Rattus norvegicus: one gene and its partners. The protein of the gene in region 2 interacts with the protein of the main gene of each other region in a pairwise test. Links are inferred from orthologs where the notes say so. Each region holds a gene or a part of one and is shown on either strand. Other genes may lie near its edges. The genes, in order: Ccm2l, Camk2b and Acot7.

The links.
Region 1: the proteins of Camk2b (region 2) and Ccm2l interact in binary tests that used the Homo sapiens proteins (3 or more experiments, as listed by UniProt). The two-hybrid records come from large-scale screens. The link is inferred for Rattus norvegicus from reciprocal best matches to the Homo sapiens genes CAMK2B and CCM2L.
Region 3: the proteins of Camk2b (region 2) and Acot7 interact in binary tests that used the Homo sapiens proteins (3 or more experiments, as listed by UniProt). The two-hybrid records come from large-scale screens. The link is inferred for Rattus norvegicus from reciprocal best matches to the Homo sapiens genes CAMK2B and ACOT7.

The regions. Positions count from the first base shown.
Region 1 is NC_086021.1:161,999,926-162,009,540, reverse strand, and holds the end of Ccm2l (cerebral cavernous malformations 2 protein-like), read right to left. Parts: intron 7,219-9,615; coding exon 7,083-7,218; intron 5,467-7,082; coding exon of another isoform or gene 5,390-5,466; exon of another isoform or gene 5,018-5,389; coding exon 4,954-5,017; intron 2,915-4,953; coding exon 2,785-2,914; intron 1,982-2,784; coding exon 1,843-1,981; intron 1,002-1,842; coding exon 697-1,001; 3' UTR 678-696; exon of another isoform or gene 343-677; 3' UTR 169-342; downstream 1-168.
Region 2 is NC_086032.1:85,071,313-85,081,349, forward strand, and holds part of Camk2b (calcium/calmodulin-dependent protein kinase type II subunit beta), read right to left. Parts: intron 8,133-10,037; coding exon 8,030-8,132; intron 7,957-8,029; coding exon 7,873-7,956; intron 7,379-7,872; coding exon 7,284-7,378; intron 7,162-7,283; coding exon 7,039-7,161; intron 6,732-7,038; coding exon 6,648-6,731; intron 5,863-6,647; coding exon 5,820-5,862; intron 4,862-5,819; coding exon 4,787-4,861; intron 582-4,786; coding exon of another isoform or gene 579-581; coding exon 541-578; intron 385-540; coding exon 313-384; intron 1-312. UniProt on the Homo sapiens protein: Calcium/calmodulin-dependent protein kinase that functions autonomously after Ca(2+)/calmodulin-binding and autophosphorylation, and is involved in dendritic spine and synapse formation, neuronal plasticity and regulation of sarcoplasmic reticulum Ca(2+) transport in skeletal muscle.
Region 3 is NC_086023.1:167,963,825-167,974,396, forward strand, and holds the start of Acot7 (cytosolic acyl coenzyme A thioester hydrolase), read left to right. Parts: upstream 1-5,577; 5' UTR 5,578-5,587; coding exon 5,588-5,736; intron 5,737-10,572. UniProt on the Homo sapiens protein: Catalyzes the hydrolysis of acyl-CoAs into free fatty acids and coenzyme A (CoASH), regulating their respective intracellular levels.

The DNA of each region.
Region 1 (9,615 bases), on a different chromosome or scaffold from region 2:
GTGCATTTTGTTTGGGGGTTTGGGCACAGAGCCAGGCTATAAGACCACTGTGAAGGCCAGTCCTGTTTCTTCTTCTCAAGCTGTGAACTCCTCTAGTCTTCATAACACCTCATTCCACACACCGCTCCCAGGAACAACAGGCACATTGAATCAGAAAAACATTCCAAGTGGAGAGAAACAGCATTTATTGAGCACCTACAGCATGCCAGGCCCAACCCTAATGTCTTGCCCTCCATTCATCCCGATGACCACTTGTGAGCTGGGTGGAGCTGAAATTATCCTAGAGATGTGGAGATGAGTGTCGATATCCAAGGACCTGGCGTTGTCTCATATTTCCATTCCCTTAAAAACAAACAAACAAACACACCCCCCCATGTCTCTTCAGTCTCTCAGCCTGTAAAATTGAAGAGAGGTCTCTAGGTTCTGGAAATGTTTCTGGTTTGGGGTTGGGCAGGGTTGCAGAAAGTGGGGCGTGAATTAGATATCTTTTCTGTCGGCCAGTAGGTGGAGCGATTCTTTAGCTTGAAGAACACTCTAGAGTCTGGCTCTCCCGCCCTCTACAGGATTTTCTTGGTATTGCAAGGACTGAAGCCCTGTGAACCCATTTGCAGGGAAAAGAAGCCCCAAGGCACGGATGGGAACCCAGGAGTCTAGGAACCCTGGGGATGGTGTCATACGGGCAAGTGTGCCGCGGAGCTACAGGTAGTTGTCTTCAACCTGGTCGCCCCCGCTTGGGGAGACATCCTCGTAGACGTCGTCATCGTCCGGGGCCAGTGCCTCGATGTCATGCGTGATGTCAGTCAGCAGCTGGTGGAAGGTCTGCTCCTCCGGCCTCTGGGCCGCCCCGTCATAACTGCGCACGGCAGACGCAGACGTGGAGCTCATGCTGCGCTTGATGCGGCCGAAGCTGTCAGTGAGGATTCCACCCTCGCGGATACCCATGCTCTCCAGGAAGCCCTCGAAGTAGCCGATGTCCTGATCTGGGATGAAGGGCCGCATCCCTAGAGGACACAGGGCAAAGTGACTCCAGCATCCAGCCAGATTGCTATGGAATGCCCTCTCTGGAAGTCCGAGTTCAAATCCTGTCTCTGCCGGGATAGCTTTACCCAAAATTTTTTACCTCTCAAAACAGCAGATGACACAAGACTCCTCATGTGTTTGCTAGCTTAATATATTCTTAGGGATATACTCCCAGTTACTGGCTATACAACCTTAGTTAAATAACTACTCAAACCTCACCTTCGTCACCTGTACAACGGATCTTCCGTACCTGATTTGGTGAAAATGTAATCAGTTACTTTCCACGACGTGCCCCATAAACATCAGATTTACTTGCGTCCCTTTCTGGACCTTTGACTTCTTTACTTTGCTACTTTGAGTCTCAGTCTCTTCACTTCCAAATGGTGACGAGATAGCAATATTTACTTCTCAGGCATGGGGATAGTCTGTGAGGTCATGCTTGGCTCATGATAACTGCCAAACATGCTCCTGTGTGATCAATATTATTCCTACGGTGCTCAGTAACCCTCTTCACTAGCTGTGTGACTCCAGACAAGTCGCTTTGCCTCTCTGAGGCTAAGATAGGCTGTGTGTGTGTGTGTGTGTGTGTGTGTGTGTGTGTGTGTGTGTGTGTGTTGATCACATCCTGACCTGCTTTGCTACCCTAGGGCTAGGCTCATCCAGCTGTTTGCTGGCAATTCCTCTCCCTTTCCTTCACTCTTTCTTCCTCTCCTTCTCAGGTCCAGGTTCTCTAAGTCTTGGGCCTTAGGGGCTCAAAGAGCAAAGCGCTCCCAGGTGGTGTCTGGCTGGGGATGCCTGGAGCCAAGGCAGAGTGGGGCTTACCAATAAGAAGGAACTTCCGTCGGTCCCCATAGAGTTTCTGCAGGCCTGCACAGTAGTCCTGGATAGGCAGCCCCAGGCGATAGTCTCGTAGCAGCATCGCAAACTGCTGGATCTCAGGAGGACCCAGCTTACTTCGCAGCTGTGGGAGTAAGGGACACCCTTGGAAACCAGATCCAGATTGCAACAACGCCTGGCTTCTGCTAAATATGCTGAGGTTCTCTCTGGCAGCCTGTCAGGCCCAGCCCATCTGCAAAATCTTCCACTGCCCACTGAGGTGGGTGGGGACATCTGGTCTTTGCATCTAGGAATGGTGTAGTGGTTTGTGTATGCTTGGCCCAAGGAGTGGCACTGTTAGAAGGTGTGGCCCTGTTGGAGTAGGTAGCCCTGTTGGAGTAGGTGTGTCACTATGGGTGCAGGCTTTAAGACCCTCACCCTAGCTGCCTGGAAGCCAGTATTCTGCTAGCAGCCTTCAGATGAAGATGTAGAACTCTCAGCTCCTCCTGCACCATGCCTGCTTGGATCCTGCCATGTTCCTGCCTTGATGATAATGGACTGACCTCTGAATCTGGAATCAGTCCTAATTAAATGTTGTCCTTATTCGAGTTGCCTTGGTCATGGTGTGTCTTCACAGCAGTAACACTCTAAGATAAATGGGATATGGGTCCCACTTCCTGAGCCCCAATCCTTTGGTGACCTCCTCTGAGGTGGCAGGAGGTCATTATCTCCCTGACCCTTGCTTTCCTTCTCTGCACTTGGGGTAAGGAGGGAGCCTCCTTCTTGAGGTTGTTGAAGAGATGAAAGACAGGGGAGGTGCTTGGAGCCTTCAGTGCAGGCTGACACCAGCCACGGCTTCTCTAAGCTCCTAATCACACCTCCTTCCCTGGCCTCTGAGCTCTCACATAAGATTCTTGTTGCAGAGCTCTGCTGTCTGTGCATGCTCACCGTGACCATGTAATCCTGTAGCTGCTCAAAGGCCCAGCTGCTGTGGTCGATACTGCTACAGTGGGAGCTGTGGAAGGACGGTGTGGACGCGCCACTGTAACATGCCTCAAATGTGTCCTGGGAGCCATTGCTGCAGAGAAAAGGGGAAAGTAGCCTCACCAACCTCTGTTGCTTTCCCTAGGTTAGGCTGAAGGTGGTTGGGCTTATATACCAGTGCTCAAGGCTCATCAAAGTCCAGCAACCTCTCAAGCCCCCTCCTGCTCTCGGCACTCCTGTCACCCTTCCTTATCCCTCCCTGAGCCTTTGCACAGGCTGTTCCCTCTGCCTGGACTTCTCTCCTCCATTGCCTCTCTCACATCTAGTGTCACAGCCACAGGACCACTACCTGGTTATTCTGAATTCTTGATGTTCTCTCTGCCTGGAATGACCAGTCCCTTTTATCACCAGCTCAACTGTCATCAGTTCTGGGAAGCCCCTCTGGCTCCTAGGTAAGGTAGAGTCCCCTTCTGACTCTTACATACCCTGGGAAGCTTCTTTTCACGGTAGTATCCATCACTGCTGGATGCCACCTGTGCTGAACTGTGCGGCCTTTCCTTTCTCCTTGTTGAATTCTTTTTATAAATTAGGCTGCCTGGCTCATCGTGGAGGGTTTCGTTTTTGAGGGTCTCACATATCCTAGAATGGCCTTAAACTCTTTATGTAGTGAAGGTTAGCCTTGAACTTTTGATCCTGCTTTTAACCTCCCAAGTGCTGGAGTGGTGGTTTTGAACCACCAAGCCAGGCTAATGCAGTGACAGGGGTTGGAATCAAAGCCTCTCATATCCTAGGCAAACACTCTCTCATCTCTGGTTCAGTCCCACCCAGCATAGGAAATTCTCATTGTTAACTCCTTTTAAAATAAGATGACCACACTGGGCTTGGGCTTTGAACTTTTGACACTCTGGCTTCCACCTCCAGAAGGCTGGGACCACAGACCTAGCAAGGGTGTAGACTCCTGAGCTCACATGCCAGCCTGCTTGTGCTTGCAGGCCAGGTCTATGGCGTTTACTGTGTTTGACCCTTGGGTTGCTAAACTTTGTTTCCCTAGTCTTCAGCTTCTCCATCTGTAAAATGAGATGATGAAGATTGGTGTCACTGTGAAAATGACAGGATCATATGTAAGGCACTTCAGGCTATAGACCCCACATAACAGATAACTAGCCACATAGCAGCTAACAAAAGCCAATGACGTGCATTACAGCGTGCGTGTGTGTGTGCGCGCGCGCGCGCACACACACACACAAAAGCGCACACACACACAAACACACAAGCACACACACACAAGCACACACACAAACACACAAGCATACACACACAAGCATACACACAAACACACACACAAACACACACATAAGCACACACACAAACACACACACATGCACACACACAAACACACAAGCACACACACAAACACACACACACAAACACACACAAACACACAAGCACACACACACAAACACACACACAAACACACAAGCACACACACAAACACACACACACAAACACACACACAAACACACACAAACACACAAGCACACACACACACACAAACACACACACACACACACACACACACACGCACACACACATGTGCTTCAGGGATGGAACCCAGGGCTTTTCACATAGTGAGCTTGCCTGGTGATACTGTGGTATTCCCTGGTCCCTATCCTCTCTAAACTATTTCAAGAGGCCATTGGTGTGCTCTTGAATGGTTGAAGCTACAGCTTGGACCACGAGGTCACTCTGAGGATGGTGAAGGGGAAGCTGTGACTGAAAGAGAGGCCCAGGGTGAATAGGACCAGGAGGCCCCAAACTCTGGTTGTATTTTGCATAAGAAGACAAGAAAACCAATCCTGTCTTTGTAAACCTACCTTCCCCGGGATTTCCTATTATACCAACAGAGCTTTTAGCATTAGCTGTGACTTTGGATTCTGTAGACCACTGAACCTGGGAGGCTTGAAGACCTCTGTGGTCCCAGGTCTCTAGGTCTCCCAGGGTTTAGCCTGGAGCTCTGTCTACCTCCCAGACTCAATACAAATCATGGTTGGGTCCCTGGGCCCCATGCGCTGTAGAGGAGCCGGGTGGGGGTGGGGAGGGAAAGCTGGCATCACAGACAAAGCTGGTACTCACAAGGAACTGCAGCAGCTCAAGTCGGCATCATAGGCAAATGTCCCATCGGTGCGGCAGCTCTCACCTGGGACCAGTAGGAAGAACTGTCAGAGATGATGTGCAGGCACCAATAGGCTTCCTGAACCCCTGACATTGGCAGCACCCTGGGATCTGGTTCTTGCCCAGCCCTGATACGTAGCTAACCTCAGGCAACTGTCATCCCCAATCCTTGCTGTCCCCAGTGCCCAGGTCCATAGTGTCTTCCTATCTGATGGGACACGGGGAATGACAAATGAGAGGCAGTGGGAGAGTGTTGATAAATGTGTGTCTAGACGAGACAGTGCAGACAATGCTGCAGAGAGCAAGTCAGTCAGCAGCTTGAAAGGAAAGCAACGTTATTTATGGAGAATGTGGCTCCTCCCCAGCCTGGTCCCTCACCTGTCTGGGCAGGGCCTTCTCATGTCAGCTCAGTGGGGGTCACTCTGTCACTCTGACTTCTCAGAGGCAAGTTCCTCATTACAGGTTCCCATAACACTGTGGTTAGACATTTATCACTGTGACTACTTATTCTATGCACGTCGCAGGAAGGCAAGACTGTGCCTCAGTTTGCCTACCGTCAAGATACCTTACAGATTATAACTGGGCCTGAGAAATAAAAACTCAGTCGACATTGGTTGAATGAACGAGTTCTCTCATTTGGTTGCTTAGCATCCTGGGAACCAAACAGTCACCAGCAGAGGCTTCCCAACAGGCACAGCTCCTGCGGGTAGCAGAGTCACGACAAGGCCAGTGCCACAGCTGCTGGAGCTGTGCAAACAGAGACCACTCCATAGCAGGCTGTGGAGGAGGGAATTCACACAATGGCTGTCTTTGAGGGTAGCACACAGAGAGAGCGCTGCAGACAGAAGCTTTGGAATTAGACACACTGGGTTTGGATTCTGCCTCTGACCTACCAACCTTGTGGCCTGTGACTATTTATTGACTACTCTGAGTCTCAATGCTTATTATCTGTAAAACTGGATTCACAGGGCCTCGGAGAGGCCTTTTTTCTCTGTGTAGCCCTGGCTCAACTGGAACTTGGAGTGGATCAGGCTGGTACTGATCTCTGAGATCTTTCTGCCTCTGTTGCCCATGTGCTGAGATGAAAGATGTGTGTCACCACCATGCTTAGATCTTTTTTCTTTTTTAAATTTCAGGTTTCGGGGCTGGAGAAATGGCTCAGTGGTTAAGAGCACTGACTGTTCTTCCAGAGGTCCTGAGTTCAAGTCCTAGCAACCACATGGTGGCTCACAACCATCTGTAATGGGATCCAATGCCCTCTTCTGGTGTGTCTGAACAGCTACAGTTTATTTACATATAATAAATAGAGCTTTAAAAAAAATAAAGATCAGGTTTCTGCATTGCAGCTCGGCTGACCTTAAACTCGGATCCTTCTGCCTCAGTGTCTCAAAAGCTCGGGACTATTAGCTAATGTGCTCAGGATGGCATTTGCATATGCCATGATGCCCGTGGGGAGGTCGGAGGAAAACTTTTGAAAACTCAAAAGTTTCTCCTTCCACCCTGTGAGTCTTGAGGACTGAGCTCAAGTTGTCAAGATTAGCAGCAGGCACCTTTCCCCGCTGAGCCATCTCACCAGCCCGGGGACTGAGCAGTTTCCATTTATCTGAAGGCTACCTCTCCAGCATCTGTGGAGTGCCTGTTCCTGTGCTAAGTGAACAAGACAGGTAGGACGCCATAAAGTCTCGAGAAGACTTGACACTTCGCTATTGTGCTTGGCACACAAGGCACTCAATAAATGCCCCTGTTAGTCTCACTTTAATTCCAACCCTTGATTGCATACATGGACTAATCTGGAAATGTCAGCCCTAGGAATCTCCCGGGGTGAGGTGGCTCAGTTAGCCAACAGTACAGTTGCTGAACTTTGCAAAGCAGGGACGCCCAAAACAAGAGAGAAGTTCAAGTGCCTAAGTTCAAACTCATCCCAAACTTGACAACGTGGTCATCTCTGAAGAGGTCATCAAGAAGATGACACTCTGTCAAGTGGACCCCTAGAACCAGGGTCCACCTCAGAACCCCTAAAGGCCTCCATCAGCCCTGACTATCAGGACATCCAGCCTCTCCCGGTGCTTTATGGGAGTTTGGATACTCACTGCAGCTGGAGAGCCATGGCCGCTTTGGTGTGGGTCTGTAGTGGTAGCCAGCCCGGTCTACACACTCGATGCTCTGGTCGCCGTAGATGATCTGGAAGACTTGACAGATGAGTGCACAGGATTCCTCAGCAGCATCCTGGTCCAGGGGCAGGAAGAGAACTCGGGCTCTTACCTATCCCCAGGGCACTCCTGCCTCCTCAGATGCAGTGAGAGCCTGTGCTGACACGTACACCTTAAGCCAACTTCAAAGACATGTCCCCTCAAAATTATATGGCTCCTCTCTTGTTCTTATGACCCTTTTACAGAATCTAGAGGCAGCTCAAACTCCTCTACCATGAAAGTACATTCCAGGTCTCCGGGGATTCATGGCCTACCATGGAATTCATCTAGCCTAAAGGCTCATTTAACTAAATGTATAGGCACAGACCCTGAAGCCCAGTGTGGAGACCAGAGCGGTAGGAGAAGGAACACTTCAAAGAATCAGAATTGTAGGCTCAGTGCTGTTACTGCTACTGGGCACAGGGTATGGCTGTGGGTTGCCCCATGCCCAACGCAATTGTGGGAGCAAAGCAATAATAGTGTCCCTGGTAGGAGGAAGAGGGCCCGAGGCAAAGCTTCGGAGGTTGCACATTTGAGGAGGAATCCGCCTCTTCAAGCAAGAGACACAGGAAGCAGTCATTGATTGATAAAGGCCACGCTTATGAAGATCCTGACTTTTGGCACCTCTAAAAATCCTAAGGTAAATGTTAAGCTGTAACTCAGGATGGGTATCTGTGGTCATTGCAGGTACTACGGTTTAAACCAGGATCAGACCTTACTATAACCCTAGAGTAGACAGGTCAGAGAGGATCCTTGTTTTATGGTTGAGTGCTCCGAGGCTTAATGGAGTTGTGTGACTTGTTTGGACTCACAGGCCCAAGGCATCAGCTAATGCTGGTATTGGGGGGTTTAACTCTGACCACTGTGTGTGGGATCACTGTACCTCGGACAGAAGCTTAGACACTTGGAAAGCAACTCATTTACTTATTCATTCTCCCACCAGGCCAGGACCGGAGCCTTAAACCCACAGCTGAGTGGGATAGGCGAGGCCCTGTCTGGTTTGCAGGCCCCTGGATCTATCGACTGTTTCTTCTCCTTGCTTCAGTTTAAACAATACAAACTAACTTTTCCTGTTGAAACAGGGTCTCTTCCTCCACCCCCTGTCACATAACCCACTCACCTCCTACCAGAGCCAGCCTGAACCATGTGATCCTAGCTTTCCTGCTCACCTGTATGCCCCTTCCCATTTCCTCATTGCCCTAATAAAGTTTCCAGGATGAGGCTGTGTTGGATGAGGCAGGGAAGTACAGAATGGAAGGAAGGACTGAGCCAGTGGGGTGGGGGATGGCAACGTTATCCCAGGGAGAGATGTTGGAGCTGGGTATGGACAGGGAACGGTGTGGGCATAGGGTTTGAATATACTTAAAAATTAGGCCAGTGGATTTATTGACAGAGTAGATTGAAAGAGAGAGAGACACACACACATATAAGAGACAGAGATAGAGAGAGACAGACAGAGAAGAGAGACAGACAGACCAAGGACCACTGCAAGGTTTCAGCCTGAGCCACCAAGGATGGAGCTGCCATTCAATGAAATGTGCACACAAAGACGCTTCGTGTTTGAGAGGAGCTTGGGGGCTCAGCTTGTAACAAATGCATTCATAATGACAAACAGACCCTGGAAAAGACAGGAGGAGTAAAGATTTGGTTAGAGGTGTTCTCTGGATTTTAGAAGGCAGCAGAGTAGAAATCACCCAGAAACAAGTGTGGATAAATCTCCTAGAAACAAGGAGAAAAGATTGAGGATAACTCCTGACCCACCCCGACTCTAAGAGGCTGGAAGGGAAGGAGGTACCAGCTTCTAAGAAGGAGCTCAGGGTAAGAGAGGGGGTCAGGATAGGAGAGCTGGCTGGTATCTCAGGCAGGGGTTGTGAGCCACTGAGCTGCATTTCCTGGGATTGTCCACCTCTCTCTGTAGACAGACACACTCATTACTCAGAGAGAGCCCTGGAAGCTGGTGCAGAGGAATGCCAGGAAGGTTTAAGGCTTGAAAGCGCCGGCTAGACTGGGTACTCCTTAGGAGACCACACCAAACTCATCTCCTCACCCACAGCACCTAGCCCAATGTGGAGCACATAGCTGCCACTCAATAAATGCCATCAAGCCAGGCATGGTGGTGTGGGCCTTTAATCTCAGTACTAAGGGGGCAGAGGCAGATGGATCACTGAGTTGGAAGCCAGCTTGGTCTACAGAGTTCCAGGACAGCCACGACTACACAGAGGAACCCTATCTAGAAAGACTACAACAAAAACAACTATATTATCATGATCAAGTGAGCGAGAGCAAGGGTGAATGCCGACAGGAAATGACAGGTAGGACAGGCAAGAATAATTCAAAGCTTCTGCTTTGGGTGGCTACATTAGTCACCAAGAGAAAAAGGCTTTGAACTTCCTGGGTTCGAATCTTGAAGCCACCTACTTTCCGCAGGACAAAA
Region 2 (10,037 bases):
CTCCGTGGCCTCCAGGCCGCTTCTCACTAGAGCTTCTTAGGGGGAGGTGATCCAGAGGTCATCGAACTGGGAAGTCATACCTCTCTCCAGCATCTGGGCTCCTGGGGGCTCCCAGGGAAGGGCTCACCAAACAGTTTTACATCTGACTGATCTGGGGTACCCTGACAGTGACCTCTCCTCTTGGCATTCAAAACCCGCAATTCCATTGTTTCCACGTGGGACTGGTTTGGTCAGAGACAGGCAGAGTCTCACCAGACCCTGCCTCACAGGGCCTCTCTTGACAGTGACATGAGCAGGGGCAGGGGTCAGTACCAGGGCGGCAGGAGGGAGGGATCCTTTGGGGCTGGTGATGGCCGAGCTGTTTTTGGTGCTGTTTGTCTGGGGCTGTGGAGAGAAGGATAAAGAGTTGTTAGGGAAGAAAGGGTACCCTCCCTAGTCAGGCCTCCGTTGGGTAAAGCCAGAACCTTGGGGTCAGCAGCAGAGCTCCAGGTTCTGCTTTCCTTCCCTGTACCCCACAAAGGGCTTGGCTGGGGGTCTCACCTTGACTCCGTCTGCTTTCTTGTTGAGTAAACTCTTGGCTGCTGCATTGGGAAAGAAGGAAGGAAGGATCGTGAGTTCCTAGGGCCTAAGATCACTGTAGCTCCCACCCCTTCCCCCACCCCCTTCCCTCTCTTCAGGAGCAAAGCTCAGGTCCTGAGGCCAGAGGCAGGTGTGGCCTTGGCACATGGCCTGGCCCTAGCAGCTGCAGAACCCCAGGGTTGCTGAGTCCAGCTGCTTGGGGTGGGGGGAGCCTCATCCAGAACCACCCTGCCCCCAGCATCTTCAATGGTTCAGGAGCCTCCTTGTCCCGTGCCTATGACTCCTGAAGGGCAGGCGGGATGATCTGCCCTGCCTCCCATTTCCCTGGACGGCGCCAGATCAGGACCGGAAGGCATGAGAATGCAAAATGAAAGGCATGCTCAACCTGGCCCTGCCCTCTGCACTTCTGTGTTCTCACTAGGATGGTGAGCCAAAGCTGGCTGTCATGCCAGAGGGCTTCACCCAGCCCCCACCCTCCGCCTTCGGAGGGCCAACAAACATCTGCCCCAGGGCTACACCGCTTGGCCTCCCTGTCCTCTCCTTGAATGGCCCAGCAGCCCTTGCCGTGGGACTACTTCTTGGTGGCCATGACGGAGGCCAACACCAACCACTTTGCCCATGAGCCCTGGCAGACACCTGGGCCCAGGAAATGGAACCCTTGGTTTCAACACTCCCCTCGGAGAGCAGGACGGTCCTGCCGTTGCCCCACCCTTTAGCCCCAGAACTTGCACCCACTAGAGCAGAGCTTAGAGTTTTCATTACAGAATTAAAACAGTAAAAAAAAAAAAAAAAATAGAGAGTGAGAGAGAAGGTCAGCTTACCTTACAGAAAAGGAAAGATGAGGAGAGGAGGGAGTGAAGGAAGAGAGGAGGAGAGAGAAAACAAGATTTGTGTTGGTTCAGAAAGGCCCCCACAAGGCAGCAAAGCCAGCCTGTCCCCAAGAAGAGCCAAGTGGCCACTTGGCCAACACAGCAGGTTAAGGCAGTCATGGCTGGCATAGCACAGGGAGCATGGTACGCAGTTCCTTGTCTCCAAAGCCCTTACCCACAAATCCTGTACACTAGACATTGGCTGACCATACCTAACCTCAGCCTCTCCTGCCTACTAGTGGGGAGCCTACAGCGGGCATGGTGGGGACTTGGGGACAGCACATTTAGTCCTGGGGCTGTAACCTAGTCAAACATGGTCTTCTGCCATAGCAGCGCCACTGCTGTGATCAGAAACGCAAACTTGCAGGCCACAGAGTAAGAACTCTGAAGGGTTCTGCGTGCCCATACCTCTGAGGGCAGTTCTTTTCAGAGCCCAGACTTGGGCACTACTGCTGCCTCCTGACTACCTCCCTCCCTAGCCAGATGACGCACTTTGAGCCCCTTACCTCCACCAGGCTCTGTATGCTGGGACATGGGGACATGGCAACTGAAACCACATACCATCTTGGAACCTGAATGCTTTTGGAGTACCTCTGTGGCGGGCACTGGTTCCCGACAGCCATCCTCCATCATGGTTTTGGTGCTTGTCTCATAAATTCTGTCACAAGCGGGTCTCTCTGAAGCGAAGCTGCCCTCCACATGTCATCTACAGACTTGGGGCTCCCTAGACCTTCAATCCCAGGGTAGCCCCAAGGGGTGTTCCTAGGGCTAAATGCTGACTTCCCATTTCTTTATAGAGTGGACTTTGAAACATCTCTGGTGTGTCTCGAGACACTCCCTGGAGTTGCCCAGCATAGCCCTCCTCCTTGTCTATGGCTCACTCTCCTCCATCTTCCTCCATCGTCATCCCTAGAGACCTGCATTGCTCGCCCAGGCAGCACGGGCTTCTGTGGCACAGGAACTGCTAAGGGTGAATTGCTGCTCTCAACCGACACTTGAGACTGGCAGAGCTGGGAGATGGGACCCTCCCTGGAGCCCAAGGAAGTAGGACTGTCCTGCTTTGAGGGTACTTGTTATGGCTTTCTGGGCAGTAGGGGAAGACGGACATTTCTAAGAGGTGGCAATTTCAACAGGTTCAACAGTCTGCAGAAGGTGGGCTTGATTTCCCCCCACCCCCGCCCCAGCAGGCCATACAGCCAACCCAGCCTGTCCCCTGTTGGATTCTGTGTTAGAACCTAGGGAAAGCCATTATTGGTCTGAGATTCGGTAGTGGCGTTTCACTATCCCTCAGACATCCTTGGAGGGTTCTCACGGGGAAAGACACACTGGAAGGGTTGGGCCTGCTTCGATCCCAGGACTGTCTTTGATCTTAAAAGGGTTCCATTTAAGCCCTCAAGTCTATCAAAACCACAGTTCCGGGCTGTGTTACTAGGAATGGTATCTGTGGTTTATTGGGGGGTGAACACATTATTACCAAGCCGGCCATAGCACACTTGGACCCAGATGAGCCATGCCTATAGCTCAGACCTAGAAAACTCAGGCAGACATCAACTTTACTTCAGCACTTCCTGTTCCTCTCACCGATAACCTATATAGCCTAGACACATGGGTGCATGGCCCAGCCTCCTTGGTTGCATGGGCTCTGGCCGTCGCTTCCTGGAGACTGGCTTTCTCCAGCTCCCCTATCTGCCCTGGATTAACTATGGCTCCCTGCAGCCAGGAACCTGCATACTCCACTCATACAGGAGAAGCCACTTCTGCGGTGTCTCGAGTCAAAAGGATTTAGAAGGTGCAGCCGGAGCCAAAGTGGACTAAACAAACATGGTGGGGGAGGGGGGATTCCAGATACTTAGAGTTGGGGGCTCTTCAGATCTGTACTCCCAACTCAGGAGGAGGGCATTTTCCATTTCCAGGTCTCAGGCCAAGCCATTACCTCCAGCCCACAGCCAGCCAGCCTGACAGTCACAAGGCACCTTACTGCGCATGTCTGCTCAATGGGGGCGGGGTGGTGGGAGCCAAAGTGCAAAAACGCTCTACAGCAAGGGTCTACAGCTGTCAAGGTGCTCGGACAGAATCACGGAGAAGGAAGACCCCCAATGTGTGCCCTTCGTGTGTGGTTGGGCTGGGCCGACCTAACGGAGTAGATGGGACCTTCAGCTCTGCCTTGCTCTCTCTCTCTAGTCACCGTGGACAGCCATGCCGAGCTTTGTTGACATGCACTGACCTCCCTCCAGGACAGAGGGACCCTCAGCTCCTGGGGCAGAACCACAACATGCAGGCAGCCTCATGCAAGGTTGCCCCGGCTCACTTGCAGGCAGGCGAGCATTGCAGCAGAAGTCCTGGGCGGAGCATGGCTCAGAGGTGACCTGTCTCACGCCACTGTCCCCTGGCAATAGGGCCGCCCTGACAGCCGCTAGCTTTATATAATTACTTGGGAGCGTCTACAACGGGCCCCTGTGGGCAGAACAGACAAGCCTAGGGTGACCTAAGCATCCCCCAGGAGGAGGATCCTCTAGTAGGTGATCATTGCTGTGGTCCTAGTGGTGTTGTGAGGTGGGTGTGGGCAGGCGTGTGGAAAGGGCTGGTCCTCAGCTGGCTGGGAAACCCGTGCTCGATCCTCAGCTGACTCTCAAGGCTTTAGGAGAAGCTGAAGCTTGGCTTGGGTCTATGTGTTCAGTGGCGACTCGAACCTTGTGCTGCTGGCTGGCATTCAGTTTGGGTGGTGACTACGGACCCCGTGGTGAGGGCTCTGGGTCACTGAGCCCTCAGAAGGTCTCACACCATCAAAGGGACAGATTGATGGAGGTTACCTCCTCCCCTAAGGGAGTTCGGGACCAAGTAAGAAGGGTCTTCAGAAAGAACCCTTCAGTTCCAGACACTGATAGCACCCCACTTTCACTCTGAGGAATTGTAGCACAGACCACCAGACCCTTGGGCCCTACAGATCCTTGGGACATGTCTCTATCCCCAAGCCCTGATCCAAGGGCTCCCCTTTCAGGGCTGATACCCTCCAGCAGCAGGCTTAGTGGCTCCTGTGAGATCAGGGTCACTCTGAATTGGGTCTCCAGACATCCAGAGGCAGAACCAAGGGTCTCAGGCAAATGCATCTGGGATTTGATGTGACCTCTCTCTTACAGATGATGAGACAAGAGTGAGGGGCAGCCTTATTGCCCAGGGCAGGGCTTCAGCTGGGATGTGACAGGAGCAGAGCTCCCAGGGGACTGCCTGCCTCCGGGGAGGCTCTGGGGGTCTGGCCAGTGGCTGCGTGCAGCAGGGGGGCTGCATGCCAACAGGAGGGATGGGCAGGAGCGGGTGGACACTGGGCAAGACACATCTACCTTGTTCCACCAGCCCCATGGTGGTGCCGGAGGCCGCGGTGGACATTGTGGCCGGAGCGGTGGTCTGTCTGCCCACTGTTAGCACCGGGTTAGAGACGAGGGGGGGAAGGGGGCGGACACAGACGTGGGGAAGGGCGAGGTGAGGAAAGAGAAGAGACAAAGGAAGCAGAAGAAGATTAGAGTTAAAGTTTAGGTAGGGGATGGCTCCAGAATCCCTTTCTCAGGATAGTGAAACAAGACTGGGCCGATAGACACTGGAAAGCATTTGCCTCCTTTCTCCTTAGAACACCCCAGTGGGGCTTCTTGTGCCCTGTGGGGCATGCGGGGCACACAGCAGACAGGACAGTCCCATTAGTGTTGATGTGACTGTGTGCCCATTCCCGGCAGTACAGCATCACAGCAAAGTAACAGGAGGCAGGGTACCAGATGCAGACGCACAAGGAGAGACGACCATGAACGCTCGCACATAGTGTCAGACGACGAAGAAGCCACAGACATAGCTGTCCGGGCACTGGGGCCAACACTGTCCCCCCACGCGGGCCCCATGGGTCTCTAACAGACCCTTGAGACTTCATTTTCCCATCACCCACCCAAACAACCAGGGTAGGCGGCCCACTTACAAGTCACCCCGTGCGCGGACCTCAATCTCATCCACCCCCACTTCGGCTGTCTCCCACACACAACACGATGCTCAGAGAACTGAGGACAAGGAGGCCACAGGGCTGCCCAACAGATGCTTGGACGGATACAGGTGGCAGGCCAGGTGTTGGCAGCACAGACACTGGGGTGTCAAGTAAGGGACACAGACCCAACGACACGGAGGAGGCAGGACTGGGGCATAGCAGACCTCAGTAGCTACCCAACGAGAAAAGCCAAAAGGCCTTCTGGGTAGAGGATCTTAGAGGTGAGGACAGAAACTGGGCCCCCGCCAGCCTGGAGGAAAGGGGCGGGGGGGCCGATGAAGAAGGAGGGGGCTTTCTGTAGAACGAGGGTGGGACTCAAACACCGTCTTCCCTGGAGAAGAATGTCTCACCTGAGAAATTCCGTGTGGCCAGCATAGTGGTGAGGATGGCTCCCTAAGGAGAAACAGAGACAGGGCCACCCTGTTAGTGTCTGCTTCTGTCCCCCCTGCTCGGTCTCCCAGAGAAGTAAGAATTCCAGAGCCTGGCAGCTGCACTGAGGGAAGCCACACGCCCATAGCTAAGGCTCATGCTACCCATAAATCACAGCGTCAAGACTCCTGAGAAGTGAGCATGGCCAGGAAGGCCTGCCACCATGACAGCTAGCCCAGTGGTTCTTGAACTTCCTAAATGCTGTGACACCCCAAGGTAGTTCCTCATGTCCTGGTGACCTTCCACCATAAAGTTATCTCGTTACTACTTCATAACTGTGATTCTGCTACTGTTACATTATGAAGGTTTTGCAGGGTATCTCGACCCTTGAGTTGAGAACCACTCCTTTAACGGGCCCAGGGAAGCCAGGGCTGCCCTTGGGGCTTTGGGGAAGCTCAATTGAGCAATGGTTCCCAGGGCTAACCCTGTCCTTAGCTGGCCAGCAACTCTCAGGATCAGGCCTGTCCGCCTGCCTCTCTAACCTGCTGGGCCCACCAGGCCCTTCTGCTCTGCCCTTTACTGAACCTGCTCTGGGCCAGCACTCCTTCAGCCCTCAGGATGCTCTGCACTCAGGGCCAAGCTCGCCCCTCTGAGCTGTCCCAGAATCTGGAATCCTCTGATCTGGACTCGTGAACAGGCATGGATTTGGGGGGTTTCTCCTGCTTCCTCTTTTGAAGGCCCCACTAACACCCCTACTTCCAGCATGGGGCCCCCCCAGGATGCAGGGATGGGGTCTGAGTCCTGCCTACCTTGAGCTTCCTCCTTGCATTGAACTTCTTCAGACATTCCACAGTCTCCTGTCTGTGCATCATGGAGGCCACCGTGGATCGTTGCTGTTGGGAGAAGGGAAGTCGCAGGGCAGTGAGGATCTACAGAAGTATCAGCCTTGCCTCCAGAGGGGGAACCAAGGAGGCTTAGGAGAGGGGTTCAGGGTGATGGCACTCTAGGGCCAGCCACCACAACAGCGAGAGATCACTTGTTCCCACCTGCTGTCCCCAACCTATTTCCAAGTTCAAGAGTCTTGTCCTTCACAGATCAGGGGAGTGGTCGGACACAAGGAACAGAAGCCCGGGGCCATCTTAGGGGCCCTGGATAGACCCACCAGGAACTGGCCCCTAGAGGTTGCCAAGGACGACTTACGCAGACCCATGGGTGCTTCAGGGCCTCGTGGGCCGTGATGCGCTTGGCGGGGTTGATGGTCAACATCTGGTTGATGAGGTTTTTGGCTTCAGGGGTAACGGTGTCCCACTCGGGGGATGGGAACTACAGAAGGAAGTGGGGCACAGGGCAAGGCTGAAGCCCCTCCCCTGGGGCAAACACCCCTGAAGAGGAGGGAAGACCCAGGCCGTGGCGGTCCCCGCCCTCCACACCCGGCGCTCACTCACGTCATAGGCCCCAGCCTTGATCTGCTGGTACAGCTTGTGCTGGTCCTCATCCCAGAAAGGTGGGTATCCCACCAGCAGGATATACAGGATCACCCCTGTGGATGTGGAGGTGAGCAGCATAGCCCTGGGAGGCACCAGGGTCAGTCCTCAGTGTGCCTTTGCGCCCCTCCGCCATGGGGAGGATGACACAAACAGTATCTGCTCCCTGCTCTGTCTCCGCTTTACTAGGGAGCCTGGCCGACCTCCTCTGCTGTATCCCCACCAGAAAGAGAAGAGCCCACCTAAGGAGCCACCTCGCCCTGTGGTCTGACAGCCCCAGGTCCCTGTATCCTGGTGTCCACTTGCTCTGGGCACAGACCTATACTGAGCACAGGCAGACAAACACAGTGGGCCAGAGCGCATGGGTAAATGTAGTCACAGTGTGAGAGCCTTGCTGAGGCAGCCCAAAGGCAGGTAGGACACACGTACTTGGCTCAGGGCAGGAGAAGCCAGCCAGCCACCTGTACACTGCAGGGCAGAGGGAATGATCCCAGAGACACTACCACACGCTCACCATGCAACCCAGCCACCTCTCACACACAGGTCTTACCACATGCCCAGATATCCACTGGTTTGCCATAGGCCTCCTTCCGAAGAACTTCGGGAGACAGGTAGCCTGGTGTTCCCGCAAATCCTATCGAAGGGGAAGGGACCATGAAGGGCCATGAGGAGCTGCCAGTACCCCCTGCCCGCCCCCTGACACTCACCAAACCATGCCTGCTGGTCTCCCTGAACCTCGATGGCCAGGCCGAAGTCTGCCAGTTTCACTGCGGCCCCTTTGCATTTGCTGGCCAGGAGCAGGTTTTCAGGCTACGGGGAGAGAGCCATCAGGGCACAGCGTTCACACCACGAGCAGTTGCGAGGGGCCGGGGACAAGAGACGGCAGCAGTTTGCCGGACAGGGAGGATGCTGTGCCTCCCGACATGGGTGTTCTAGACCTAGAGCTCCATTCCTCTCTGGGGACTAGGACAGCAGCCCCAGTCACTGTAATGGGAGTTGGCTCTCAGTTTGAACTGGGAGACCCTGCTTCCTAAAATAGGAATGAAATCTCCAGTTCACTCTCACAGACAACTGCAACGATTCCAGTATGGGGCTGCAGGGCTGCCCCCCTGATAGAGGCCAGTCTTGCCCCTCTCCTTTCTGACATGGTAGAGAGTCCAGGGGCTTGGGCAATGGTCTTCATAGAACATGGAGGAACACCCAAGCTCTACCCAGCCCCAGTTAGTGCTATTACACGAGACAGAAAGGAGCCATGGGCGCTTGGATGTCTGCATCTGCAGGTGGGAAAAGCATCCTCCTGGAGAATCATTCTGGCTTCATCTGGAAGGACATTTGTTTTGTCCTGAAGAAGTGGCCAGAGAGGCCGTTGTCTCTGGGTTGTTGAGGGCCATAAAAGCCCCTATGATATTGCTTCCCTTGGCCTCTCTATCTAACCTCTAACCACAGCAGCCTGTCCGGCAGCTCCCAAGGATCGGGTCTCTGGTCCAGCACTCAGCAGGAAGTTCCTGGCTTCTGACCACCCGGAGGTTCCTCAGCTCTCAGGTCCCCTTGGTGAGTTCATAGGCGCCCTCGCCACCCACAGAGGCACCTCACTCCTGAGAACAGACCACAACCTGCCACACAGCCTGCTTTTGTCATCCACCTCAGAGACTTTACAAGGCTTAATGTGACTCCTGGGACCGAAGTTTGCCCAACCACCTACAGAGAAAGATGTGGGCTTCCTGAGGTGGGTGCCCTGAGCCCATGGCAGACTGGAGCCTCACAAGAGCTCTTGCTGTGGGTGTGAAGTAAGCAAGCTTGAAAGCTGCAGAGTTCCTAGGACTCCCTCCCCTCTGGTGATAGATAGGCAGGGGTCACACTCAGCCTGGCCTGGGGTCACACTCAGCCTGGCCCATTTTCATTTTGCCATCGTGAGCATGGCAGGGACCCTGAGCATTCTCCTCCAACATTGAAAACTGTCAGTCACATGGGAACTCTAGAAAGTGCAAGGCAAGAATGTCTGGGGCCTGGAGGAGGCAGCAGTCAGGCCACAGAGGCTGAGCTGCACCCTGGCTTCTTCACAACCACCACCCGAGACACCAGCTACACATGCTCTCTCCTGCCTTGTCTTGACCATGTAGCTTCCACTTAGCATGGTGTCATCTGTGGTTCTGCCTCACCAAGATGTCCTCCAGGAAAGGAGAGACACTGTATTCTCTCAAAAGGAAGATCCTGTTTGCCCAGACCTGGAGACGTGAGGGAAAACATACTTCCGTGCTTTAGCCTCAGCGTTTACTCTCTGCGAGCGTAGTGCCTGCACCCCATGTAATCAGTGACGTATACCCCCGTGTCTCAGGGGCCTTGTACCCAGGTAAGGCAGAGCAGGATGCTTAAGGAAGCAAGGACACATGATGAGATGCAGGGGGCATCCTGGGCCTACTCTGTGTGACACCTTCCCCAGAACAGCTGCAAAGACTGGTCCCTAACCTGTGGCCTAAGAAAGGAGTGGCCATCCCAGTTAGCACTGAGGTTGGCCTTAAAGACATTCAGGCTAGGATTGGCATCTACAGTGTCCCCAAACAGGTGGATTCAGCAAGAGACTGAGCCAGGCCTTAGAAAGGGAGAGATTACAGGGGGGAAGGGGTTGGGGAAGGGGTCTTTAGATAACTCAGAGTCAATTGTTTTCTTCTCATGAGGTGTGTGTAGTAGGGGGCGGGGGGCTCATGTAGACTTGTC
Region 3 (10,572 bases), on a different chromosome or scaffold from region 2:
TACTCTGCCACTAGGTGGCGCCACAGGACCACAAACCCAGAACTTTGATATTTCAGCCTGGAGGTCAAGGGAAAGGGAACTTTGAAGCTGTCAGTCACCGGGCGCATTATAACTCCAGATTTAAAGTTTGACCCAGTTGGAATTTTTTTTTTTTGTTCTTTTTTTTTTCGGAGCTGGGGACCGAACCCAGGGCCTTGCGCTTCCTAGGCAAGCGCTCTACCACTGAGCTAAATCCCCAACCCCGACCCAGTTGGAATTTAAGAAGTGGTTTTTATTTTATCTCATGTGTATGGTTGTTTTGTCTGCATTTACGCAGGTGACACACTTCCGCAGACAAGGCCACACCCACTCCAGCAAGACCACACCCACTCCAGCAAGACCACACCCACTCCAGCAAGACCACACCTCCTAGTAGTGCCACTAACTGGGCCAAGCATATTCCGACCACCACAGTGCATGTCTCAAAGGAGTCCTTTATTGGTCTTCGGTTTCTCAGAGTGGTTTGTGCTTGGGACAGGGCATGTGACTCTCAAGGTTAAGTTAGGAGCTGGATGACATGAGAGTGGGCTCTTCCCTCCCAGCAGCAGTGTGTGTGGGGGGTGGATGGCCCACGCTGAGGCTTGCCCACGAAGTGCTGTGAACAGGAGGCACGGTCTGGAAGCATCCATCTTCTCCAAGTAGAAAAGGCACGGCAGGGTCTGCCTGTGAGCGAGTCAGTGAACTCTTCAGTCTAATTTACTCGTCTGTCGCACAGCTCAGCCGTGTTCTGCCTGTTACCTTGAGCTCCTGAAAGTGGAAGTGGCCAGCTCACTGTCCCAGCCTGAGGACGCGCAGCAGGTTCTCGGATGAATGATCCAAGGACAAAGTAAACAGATGTCATAGAAGCTGCACAGATCCCAACCTGACTGGTGTGCCCCGGGGCTCCTTGTAATGTGTACACAAGCAGCTGGACACCCGAGAAAGGGAGAGTGGAGAGAAGTGTTCTCAGAACTTCCTCTGTGCGGAACTCTTACCTCAGACGCAAACACCCTCGCTAGGACAGGTGTGTGAAATACCTGTGTTTACTCCCGAGTGTCCTTCTGCTGGCTGCTGCGTTCTCGGACACTGAGGACATGTCAGGTCCTGGGGAACCTGTAGCACCTTTTTTTTTTTTTTTTTTTGTTCTTTTTTTCGGAGCTGGGACCGAACCCAGGGCCTTGCGCTTCCTAGGCAAGCGCTCTACCACTGAGCTAAATCCCCAACCTCCCCCCCTTTTTTTTTTCTTTTCTTTTTTTCGGAGCTGGGGACCGAACCCAGGACCTTGCGAGCTAAATCCCCAACCCCAACCTGCAGCACTCTTTCTCCCTTTGAATGTCGGCTTGAATCAGGCAGGATCTGGCAGGGTCTTCTGGCCCTAGGCTGTTTGAATCCCTTCAACATCCCAGTGGCTCCAGACATTGGAGCAGCCAAGTTTACCAGCAGGCTCACATAGACCCATAGTTTCTCTGTACCAGGTCCCTTTCCAAGCACCTAAAAATGCCCACGTGTCTAGGCCTTACTACCGTCCTATGGGTAGGTCCTCTGTTCTCTCTACTCATGGAGGAGTTGAGGTACACGTAGCAGAGAGCTCACTGAAGGCCACACAGTGTGGCTCATCTTAGTTCTGTACTATGTTACCCCTGTCTTTGGTGTTGTCTCAGTCCCGGAGGGTCTTCTGACTCTTCAGTGTGTTCGGCTCCCCAACAGGGCCTTAAGGACTCCCCAACAGGTCTCCCCAAGGGGCCCAGGCTGGCTCCTTTAGGCTCTTAGAGGTACTGTACCCCATACAAAGATAGAAGCAAGTTGGACGCATCCCTGGAATACCTTCTTGGGTCCTGGACTTTACCTGTCACTCAGATCAGGAGTGGGTCACATGGCCAGGTCACATAGCCACATTGGTCATTCCTAGGGAACAGCATGTTTGCTTGTCTGTTCTTGTGGTTTGCCCTGGAGTTATCTGTATTTTGATGCTAATTCCACTGCCCCAAAGACAGCTGCCTAGAAGTGTACTCAGGAATCAGGTGACTTCACCAGAACCTTCTCCCCATTGAATTTGTAAAGTACAGGTGAGGGGCAGGTACAGGATAGAAGGAGGCCTGTCATTGGAAGAGAAGGAAGGATGGGTGGGAGAAAAGTTTGAAGGAAGAGGAGGAGACTGGAATAGAGAGGAGAAGAGACAGGAGGGAGAGTGAAAAAAGCCGTGGCAGGACAATGGAGGCTGACGTTAAGATTCTGCTCTGTGTATTTACAGGTTGTTATCAATGTTCCTAAGGGATGGATGGTACCGGGCTTTGTATGTTTAAGTGGGCAATTATATCTTATCAACTGGGTCAAAGGTTATTGTGTTGTGTGTTCTTTTATGTGACGGTTTGAGTGTAGCAAAGTGTGCAGCGGCAGGAGACACTGGGCCGCCGAGGAGTTGGGATTTGTTTCCGCCAAGATATCTAGCAGATATCTTGGGGCATTGAGGTGCCGGACCTAAGTGAGGTAAAAGACAACATACTTTTTATATTTTTACAACAACATAGGGCAGAAAAGTTATGAATTCAAACTGACACAAGGACCAAATCTTTAGCCTACAACGATTTATTTATTTATTGGCTGTTAAGTAGAATTTGGTGGTAGAGGGCTCGTCTGACACTTGGCATGGTAGGTTTGAGCCCTATCAGTCCACCCGTGCTCCCACATGGGCATGCACACGCATGTGCACACACACGTAAGGCTCCTCTTTAATGTGGCTAAGCATGTGTTGATCCTAATTGTCACCTTGATGGGATTCAGAACCAGTGTTGGAGACATACGTGTGAGCTTCGGGCATTCCAACAGGAAGTCTGGATGGTCCGGGGGGTGGGGGTGGGGATAGTGTGGCCTGACTCAGTCTTCACTTCTACCCAAGGGAGGGCGTCTGCTGCTGCTGCTGCCACCCTCCAGTGACATCAGACGCCAGTGTCCTCAGCCTTCCAATGTGGACCGAAGACTAGCAGCTTTAAGTTGGACAGCTGAGACACCCGGTTTCCCAGAATGAGCAGTTACATGGAGAGGCAGATGGTTCTTGTGCAGCCGGCCATCAGTGGACAGACCACCCATGTAACCCCCATCCCGGCAGCTGGGTTGTTGGGTTACAACAAATCCCTTCACAAATTACTATTTCAGGTGTATTGTGTGTCTCAGGCTTATACTGAAGACCAGCAGGGACATCTAGCCTTGTGGAGGACAAACTACTTGATGCTGGACTTTCTGTTCACTGTTGGAACTCCCCCGCAAAATCCCCGTTCTGTATATAGAGAGATTCACTTCAAGAGTTCCATTACTCTATAGAACCTCCATGTCTTAGTCAGGGTTTCTATTCCTGCACAAACATCATGACCAAGAAACAAGTTGAGGAGGAAAGGGTTTATTCAGCTTACACTTCCACATTGCTGTTCATCACCAAAGGAAGTCAGGACAGGAACTCGAGCAGGTCAGGAAGCAGGAGCTGATGCAGAGGCCATGGGGGGATGTTACTTACTGTCTTGCTTCCCCTGGCTTGCTCAGCTTGCTTTCTTATAGAACCCAGGACCACCAGCCCAGGGATGGCACCACCCACAATGGGTCCTACCCCCTTGATCACTGATTGAGAAAATGCCTTACAGCTGGGTCTCAGGGAGGCATTTCCTCAAGGGAGGCTCCTTTCTCTGTGATTAACTCCAGCTCATGTCAAGTTGACACACAAAACCAGCCAGTACACTGGACAAATAAACCCTAGAAAAACCGTGGACCACCACCTCTGACTTCTCTCAGACCTCTTTCCAGTCTGTTCTTCCCAGACAACCCTAGTTCTAATATCTTTTATAAGTGGCATTGTACACTATGCTATTTTGCATGTCACAACATCCTAATAGCATTTCTAAAAAATTTTTTTGGGATGCACCATGTGTGTGCAGGAGACCAAAAAGGTAAGAGGCATCGGATCCCTTGGCTCTAGACTTATAGACGGTTGTGAATCACCCTGTGAGTGCTGGGAATGTCGTGTAGGTCCTCTACACAAACAGCAGGTACTGAAGAGCAATCTTCGCAGCCAGGAAGCCTTTCTTTTGTATTATCCTGTGCAGTATTCTATTGTAATATCCTGGCCCTGGATGTTCATGAGGTCACTTATGTTTGGCAGCTCTTTTCAGACCGTTAGTAAATAGGAAAAGCTCTTTGCTTAGCCGCAGCTTCCTCCTAGATCTAGACCTTGTAAGGCTGTGGTTCTCCACCTTCCTAACGCTGTGACCCTTTAGTACAGTTCCTCATGTTGTGGTGATCCCCCTAGCCATAGAATTATTTTCGTTGCTGCTTCATAACCATATCTTTGCTACTGTTATGAATCATAATGTAAGTATCCGTGTTTTCCTATATGGTCTTAGGTGGTTTGAGCCCCGATTCGACCCACAGACTGAGAACTGCTGCTGTAAGGGGAGATGGTGATATTTAAACAGGTCATAAACTCTGGAGGGCTTGCTTAATTCGTATTGAAATGCTAAGAGAACACAGGGTGGAAGCCACTAACACTCTGCTCCCGGTTCTAAAAACTGAATTCTTTGAATAATAATTGTGAGGTCTCAGGGGAGGCTGGTGTGTGTAGCATGTGCCCACCAGGCAAGGCCTGTGTACCAAGCTTCATCTCCTGCTGGAAAACTGGTGTTGCAGGGGTGATAGCTTTAGGCTTTAGAGTAAATGGACCCAAGTTCTGTTAATAGATGGGGTTACCTTTCTTGGGTACCGCATGGAGGGGCAGAGGCTCTCTGCAATACAGTAGATACAGGGTGACAACATTTCTCTTCTTTGGTGGCTTCTGTGGCCTGAAACTTGGACTTGATTTAAAGGCAAAGCAGAAACCAGCAGCAGCTCCTGGGCAGCAGGTGCACCCAGCTTGTACTTGGGGCTCTCCGGGTGTCTTTCTGGAGATCAGTGAGGCAGTGAGGCAGTGAGGCAGTGAGGGGGATTATGAGGCCAATAGGGGTCAGAGGTCGACCGGGCTCCCCGTCTGCAGCCATCCGGGTAAAGGGTTGACACTCGGCACCACGCGCTGTAGGCCCGGGTGAAGTCAAGGCCGGGCGCAGGGGTCGGTACGCGGCTCTCGGCGCCGTGCCCGTCCCGGTCCGGCCTCCCCGCGGTGACCTCATCGGGTGGCCGGCCCCGGTCGGTAGCGAATCGCCACGCCGGCGCACGGGAACGCCCCGTAGACTCCCGGCTGCCACCGAAGCCACGCACGCACACGCCCCGGGGACGCTCCACGACCGGGCCTCCGGCCTGCGTGGTGTCCGCCGCAGGCCGCTCGCCTGCTCCGCGCTGGCGCGTGCGCTGCGCTGCGCGCGCCACCCAACTGCCACCGAACCTTCTGGAAGCGGAGTCCCACAGCCGCCCCCGCCGCCGACAGAACTCGCCGCCTCCGCGAGCGCCTGCGGCCGTGGAGGCCTCTGGGCATGGGGGCGGGGCGGGGCCCGCGCGAGGGCGGGGCCCCCAAGGGGCGGCCGCCTGTGATTCGCCTCCTCTGCGCAGGCCCCGCCTCTCTGGCGACACGGCCCCGCCTCTTCCCTCCTCTTTTATGGCGCCTCCCAGGCTCATTCATTCGGCGCCGGGCCTGCTGGACACCTGTTCTCAGATCCCGCCGCCGCCGTCGCCGCCGCCGCCCGCCGTCGCAGCCAAGATGTCCGGTCCCACCACCGACACGCCGGCCGCCATCCAGATCTGCCGGTAAGACGGAGGCTTGCGGGCCAAGCCGACCCTTCCCCGCTCGCTCGCGCCTGAGCCCGCTGAGGCGATGCTATAGGCTCACAAGGATGCTGCCTTCATCCGGAGCGGCCCTGCCCGGCTCCACGCTCCCGGGGTCCAGGCCCTGGAACCCACCCTGGACCCCTCCACTGGACTCAGGCCCAGGATTCTCTCCCAGGACCCCTCCCTGGATTCCTCTCCTGGATCCCACCCTGGACAACACCCCCATTCCCCGTGCCCTCCTCCGGGATGCTCCCCGCCATGCTGCAGATCCGGGCCGCCTTGCGGGCTCCTCCCACCGGCCTCTGGCTGCATCCCAAGGGCGGCGGCCGCAGTTCTGAGGACTCTTGATGTAGGAATCCGGGCAAGGGACCCTGGCACTGGGCAACTGGCAGAGGGATCTGTCCTCCGTTCTCTTGTGCGTCCTACAGGGCTTGCCCCACCCCGGGCTCCGCGCCTTGTAGTCCGAGCCCAAACCTCCTGCGGGATTCGGAAAGGATAACTTAGGCTCTAGAGGGTGGTGGGGAACATGCCCAGTGCATTGGGAGCACACATGGGTGCGAGCCTCTGTGAGAGCAGGCCCCAGACCCAGTGTTCCTTTAGAGCCCCGCCTCGGTTGTGAGGAGAGCAGGTGTTAGAAGGAAGAACTCATCCATTCAAACCGTTTATTGACTCAGAAAGGGAGTGAGTGGGTCATCTCACACAATGGGGGTGAAGGTTGTTCTCGTCTAAGCATCCTCCCCAGTCTTGTTCCATTGGGGGTGCTGCTTAGATGTGGGTCCCCAGAGGAAGCCGGTGCTGATGAGCAAGCTCACTTCCCCAAGAAGGCGGGGAGGGCAGCCTCAAGGTTACCCTGCGGTTTCATGCACAGTACTTCTGTGCAGATCAGTAAGGGGCAGGTGGGGGTGGGGGATCGTGCCTGCAGGTTGTCTATTCTGCCTGACACACTGACAGGAGTGAGATTTTTTTGAGAGCGGGTATCACATTGGGACAGGTCGAGCAAACCCACAGTTTGGAGGCTGGGCAGCACTCTGACCTTGCGTCTAAGCCTCAAGCAGGCAGAGGCAGGCTCCTGTCTTGTGGGTGCTGCTGCTGGATAACTGGAGCTCTTTGCTGTCAACCTCACCTTCTGGCCCTACAGAGGCCATTCGCTGACTTCAAGGTCAGTTCTGACTCCCTAGAGAGGGGTGTTTGTCTAAGGGAGTCCTGCTCCCTTTGCTTCCTTATTGGCTGCCCAGGCCATTCAACTTGGGCTCTGGGGACAGGGTGTATGTTCCTGATAATGTGGACAACACAGGGTCTTTGTTTGACACATGCTGTGTATTGGTGTCGGGGGTCTTGGGCCTCACCTTCTGGGAGGATGACTGGCAGAGACCTTCCTCCTGCTTTGTGGAGGAGGGATTTGAGAAACTCAATAAAACCACGGAGCCCCAGGAGATTCAGAGTTAGCTCCTGCTTAGGTCTGGTTATACTGATTAAATCACCTGGGCTCTTACTTAACCTCATCAATATGGTTGGTGGCCAACCATCTTTCCCATAGCCTCTAACAACTAATGGGTATTTATGTCGCTTCGGATACTCTAATGTGCTCACAAATGCCCTGTGTGTGGCTTTTCTTATTGTGCTCTACAGGGCTGCCTCTAGCTGTCAGAGTCACAACTGCTTATTTTCCCTAAGTGACAGAGGGTGCATGGCCAGGGGTCCTGGCCCAGACGTCTCAGGGCAAAGCATGACTGCCAAGGGAGGTGGAGCGGTGCAGTAGACTGTGGTCACATGAGTTTGACCAGTGCAGAGTGGACCTAGCTGGATGGGGAGCCCTTTAAGGACATTTGAGCCAGCACCATGAAAGGCAAGACTCCTGACCTGGTGCATCTAAGCCATGAATTTAATAGGACTTCACAGGACACCTCCAAAGAGGCCAGCCCCGGAAGGGCATTGAACAGTGGAAAGTTTAGTCCTTATCTTAAGAGAGAGACAGTGTCATGCGCCTGTCACCCCAGACTGTTAGTGAGATCATCTGCTTTCAGTTCTGAAGCTTGAAGGAGCTTTAAAGATAGGTGTGAGGCGGGAGATGGCTCAGGGGCTAAAGTGCTTGCTGCTGTGAGGACCCGAGTCAGACCTGTGTAAAGTGAGACAGGTTAGTGAGGGCCTGTGACTCCAGTGCTCCTGCAGCCGGGTTGGGAGTGGAGACAAGGAAGCTCACGGGCCAGCTAGAATGATTGCTACTGCAATGAACAGCAAGAACCCTGTCTCAATCCAGGTACAGTGTGAGGACTGACGCCCAAGGTAGTTCTCTGACCCTTATACATACATCATGGCATTGTACACCCGCATGCACACACCTACACACACACACAGCACATACACCCCCTGCAAAGATAAAAGTAACCATGGCCATAGGCTTGGGATGGTTGTGGCTCTGCCCTTGGTAGCTGAGTGACCTGGAAGCCCATTGCTTATATTCCTGTGTCCTGTTCTCTTCTGGGTCTGAGTACTGGGTAAGAGTTGAGCAAGGAAGGATAGTGCCTTTAATCCCAGCATTCAGGAGGCAGAGGCAGGCAGATATCTGTGTTGAAGGCCAGCCTGATCTACAGAGTGAGTTCTAGAACAGCCAGAGCTACACAGAGAAACCCTTTCTCAAAAAACAAATAAATAAGTAAAAAAAAAAACAAAACAAAAAACAAAAACAAAAAAAAAACAAACCAAAAAGCCCAAAACCTGACCTGAACACAGCATCAATGGGTGTTCTTTATGTGGAAAGTGGGTCACCAGCTTAAGAGGTGACAGCCTGGGCTCCATTCCTAGGTCTGTCTCTTACAGGTTGCTGTGTGCCTTAACCTCACAGCATAATCTCACTTGACCCTAATTTTCTTATCTCTAAATTAGAGATATGATAGTACCTATCTTAGGGTCACTGTGTAGACAGATACCTTTGTCCCATTTATTGCTTGTGTCAACATGAACTTACAAAAGGAAGCCTTTGAGAACCAGATCTTTGGGTACTCAGGCCACGGAATAATCGTCCTCTCCTATCATTCGATGCAGTGCAAATAGTCAACCTTCAAACAGAGTGCTGGTATAGGGGCCTTGGTGCAGGATGGCACAGGCGTGTGTGTGTGTGTGTGTGTGTGTGTGTGTGTGTGTGTGTGTGTGCACGTGCCCATGTGGGTATGTGCATGTGCATGCTTGTCCCTGTGAGTGTGCCATGGCACACGTGTAGAGGTCACGACAAAGACAGCGTCTGGGGCTCAAACCCAGATTTTCAGACTTGGCAGTATCTTCATCCACGGAGTCCTCTCTCTTAGTTGCCGCCCCTTCCCTTTAGACATTGTTTTATTGTTATTTGTCTATTTTGTCCTTCTGTGAGGCAGTGCTACACTTAGTAGCCTGTGCCAGCCTTGCTCTTGGCACTCTGCCCCAGGCCCATGATAACCAAGAGCTGGGATTTCATTGCTTAGGGACCTGTTTGGGGCTGAAGGTGTGACATCTGTAGACTTTGTCTCGTCCTGCTCTCAGCTGCTGGTCTGCCAAGCGCTTCTGGGAGCGGAATTTGAGGATGGCAAATGTCTCCAGCAGTGTTAGTTCAGTGGATGTGAATTTTCTCCCTTTCAGCTTGGTCTTTGGCTTGAAAGTAGAATTAACAAGAACACAGGTTCTGGAAGGTTCCATAAAATACAGTGTGGCTCTACCCCTGGGAGGATTTATGAACCCTGTTGGAGATGCACTCTGAGTAGCCCAGTGGCGGAGGATGCCTGAGTGTGTCACTGTCTTATTTTACAGCCTGTTTTGTCACGCAGTATCACACTGCACTTGCCCTGAGGCTAGCCAACTTTCTGGTATTGTCCAGGCCAGATGGCACCTCCTCTTACTTATTTAAAATTTGTTTGCTGGTTTTTGTGAGTATGGATGGCACCTTCTCTTATTTAAAATTTGTTTGCTGGCTTTTATGAGTATGGATGGCACCTTCTTTTACTTATTTAAAATTTGTTTGCTGGTTTTTATGAGTATGGATGTTTTGCTTGCATTTATGTCTCATGCCATGTGTGTGCGCAGGCCCAGAAGAGAGCATTGGATTCCTGGGCTGGAGTCGCAGGCAAGTAGTTGTGAGCTACCATGTGGGTACTGGGAAACAAACCCTGGTCCTCCGAAGGAACGAGTCTTCTAACACTGAACCATCCCTCCAGTCCTCGTGGTTGTTATTACATTGTCCTTTGCTGTTAAAAATATTTACTTAAAATATTTATAGCACACTTGTCCTTCTGCAGGGCATCAGGCTCCAGGCATTGCGCATGGCAGCTGGTGCTGTCCCACGGAGCTGCAGTCCCCATATAGGAGCAACATACTCTGTCAACCACTCTGTCTGAAGGGCATCTCTTCTGCTTTGCAGTGCAGTTCATTGGCATTTGTTTGTTGTCTTTCATTTTGAGGCAGAGTCTGATGTAGCCCAGGCTAGTTTCATATTTGACATGTGGTGGAGGATGGCCTTGAACTTCTGATCTTCCCGATTGAATCTCCCAAGTTCTGAGACTATAAGTGTGCACAGTTTGTTGCATTTGGATAGATGTGAGTACCTGTGTGGTGACTATCTGACTGTGACACAGACTGTCTTCATCAGATCTAATCGTAGCAGTTATTTCCTTCCTCCAGGACCGGCATCTGGCAAGTGACTCGGTGGCTTTCCCTCACCGTGGTTTAGTCTATGGTTGCCTGGGGAAGGCTTCCTACTTAGCACAATGCCTGGGACCCTCACATGGGGGGCACCAGGCTCCATTTTCTGCACATTCCAGTTGGCTTCTCTCTGCAGCCAATGAACATTTG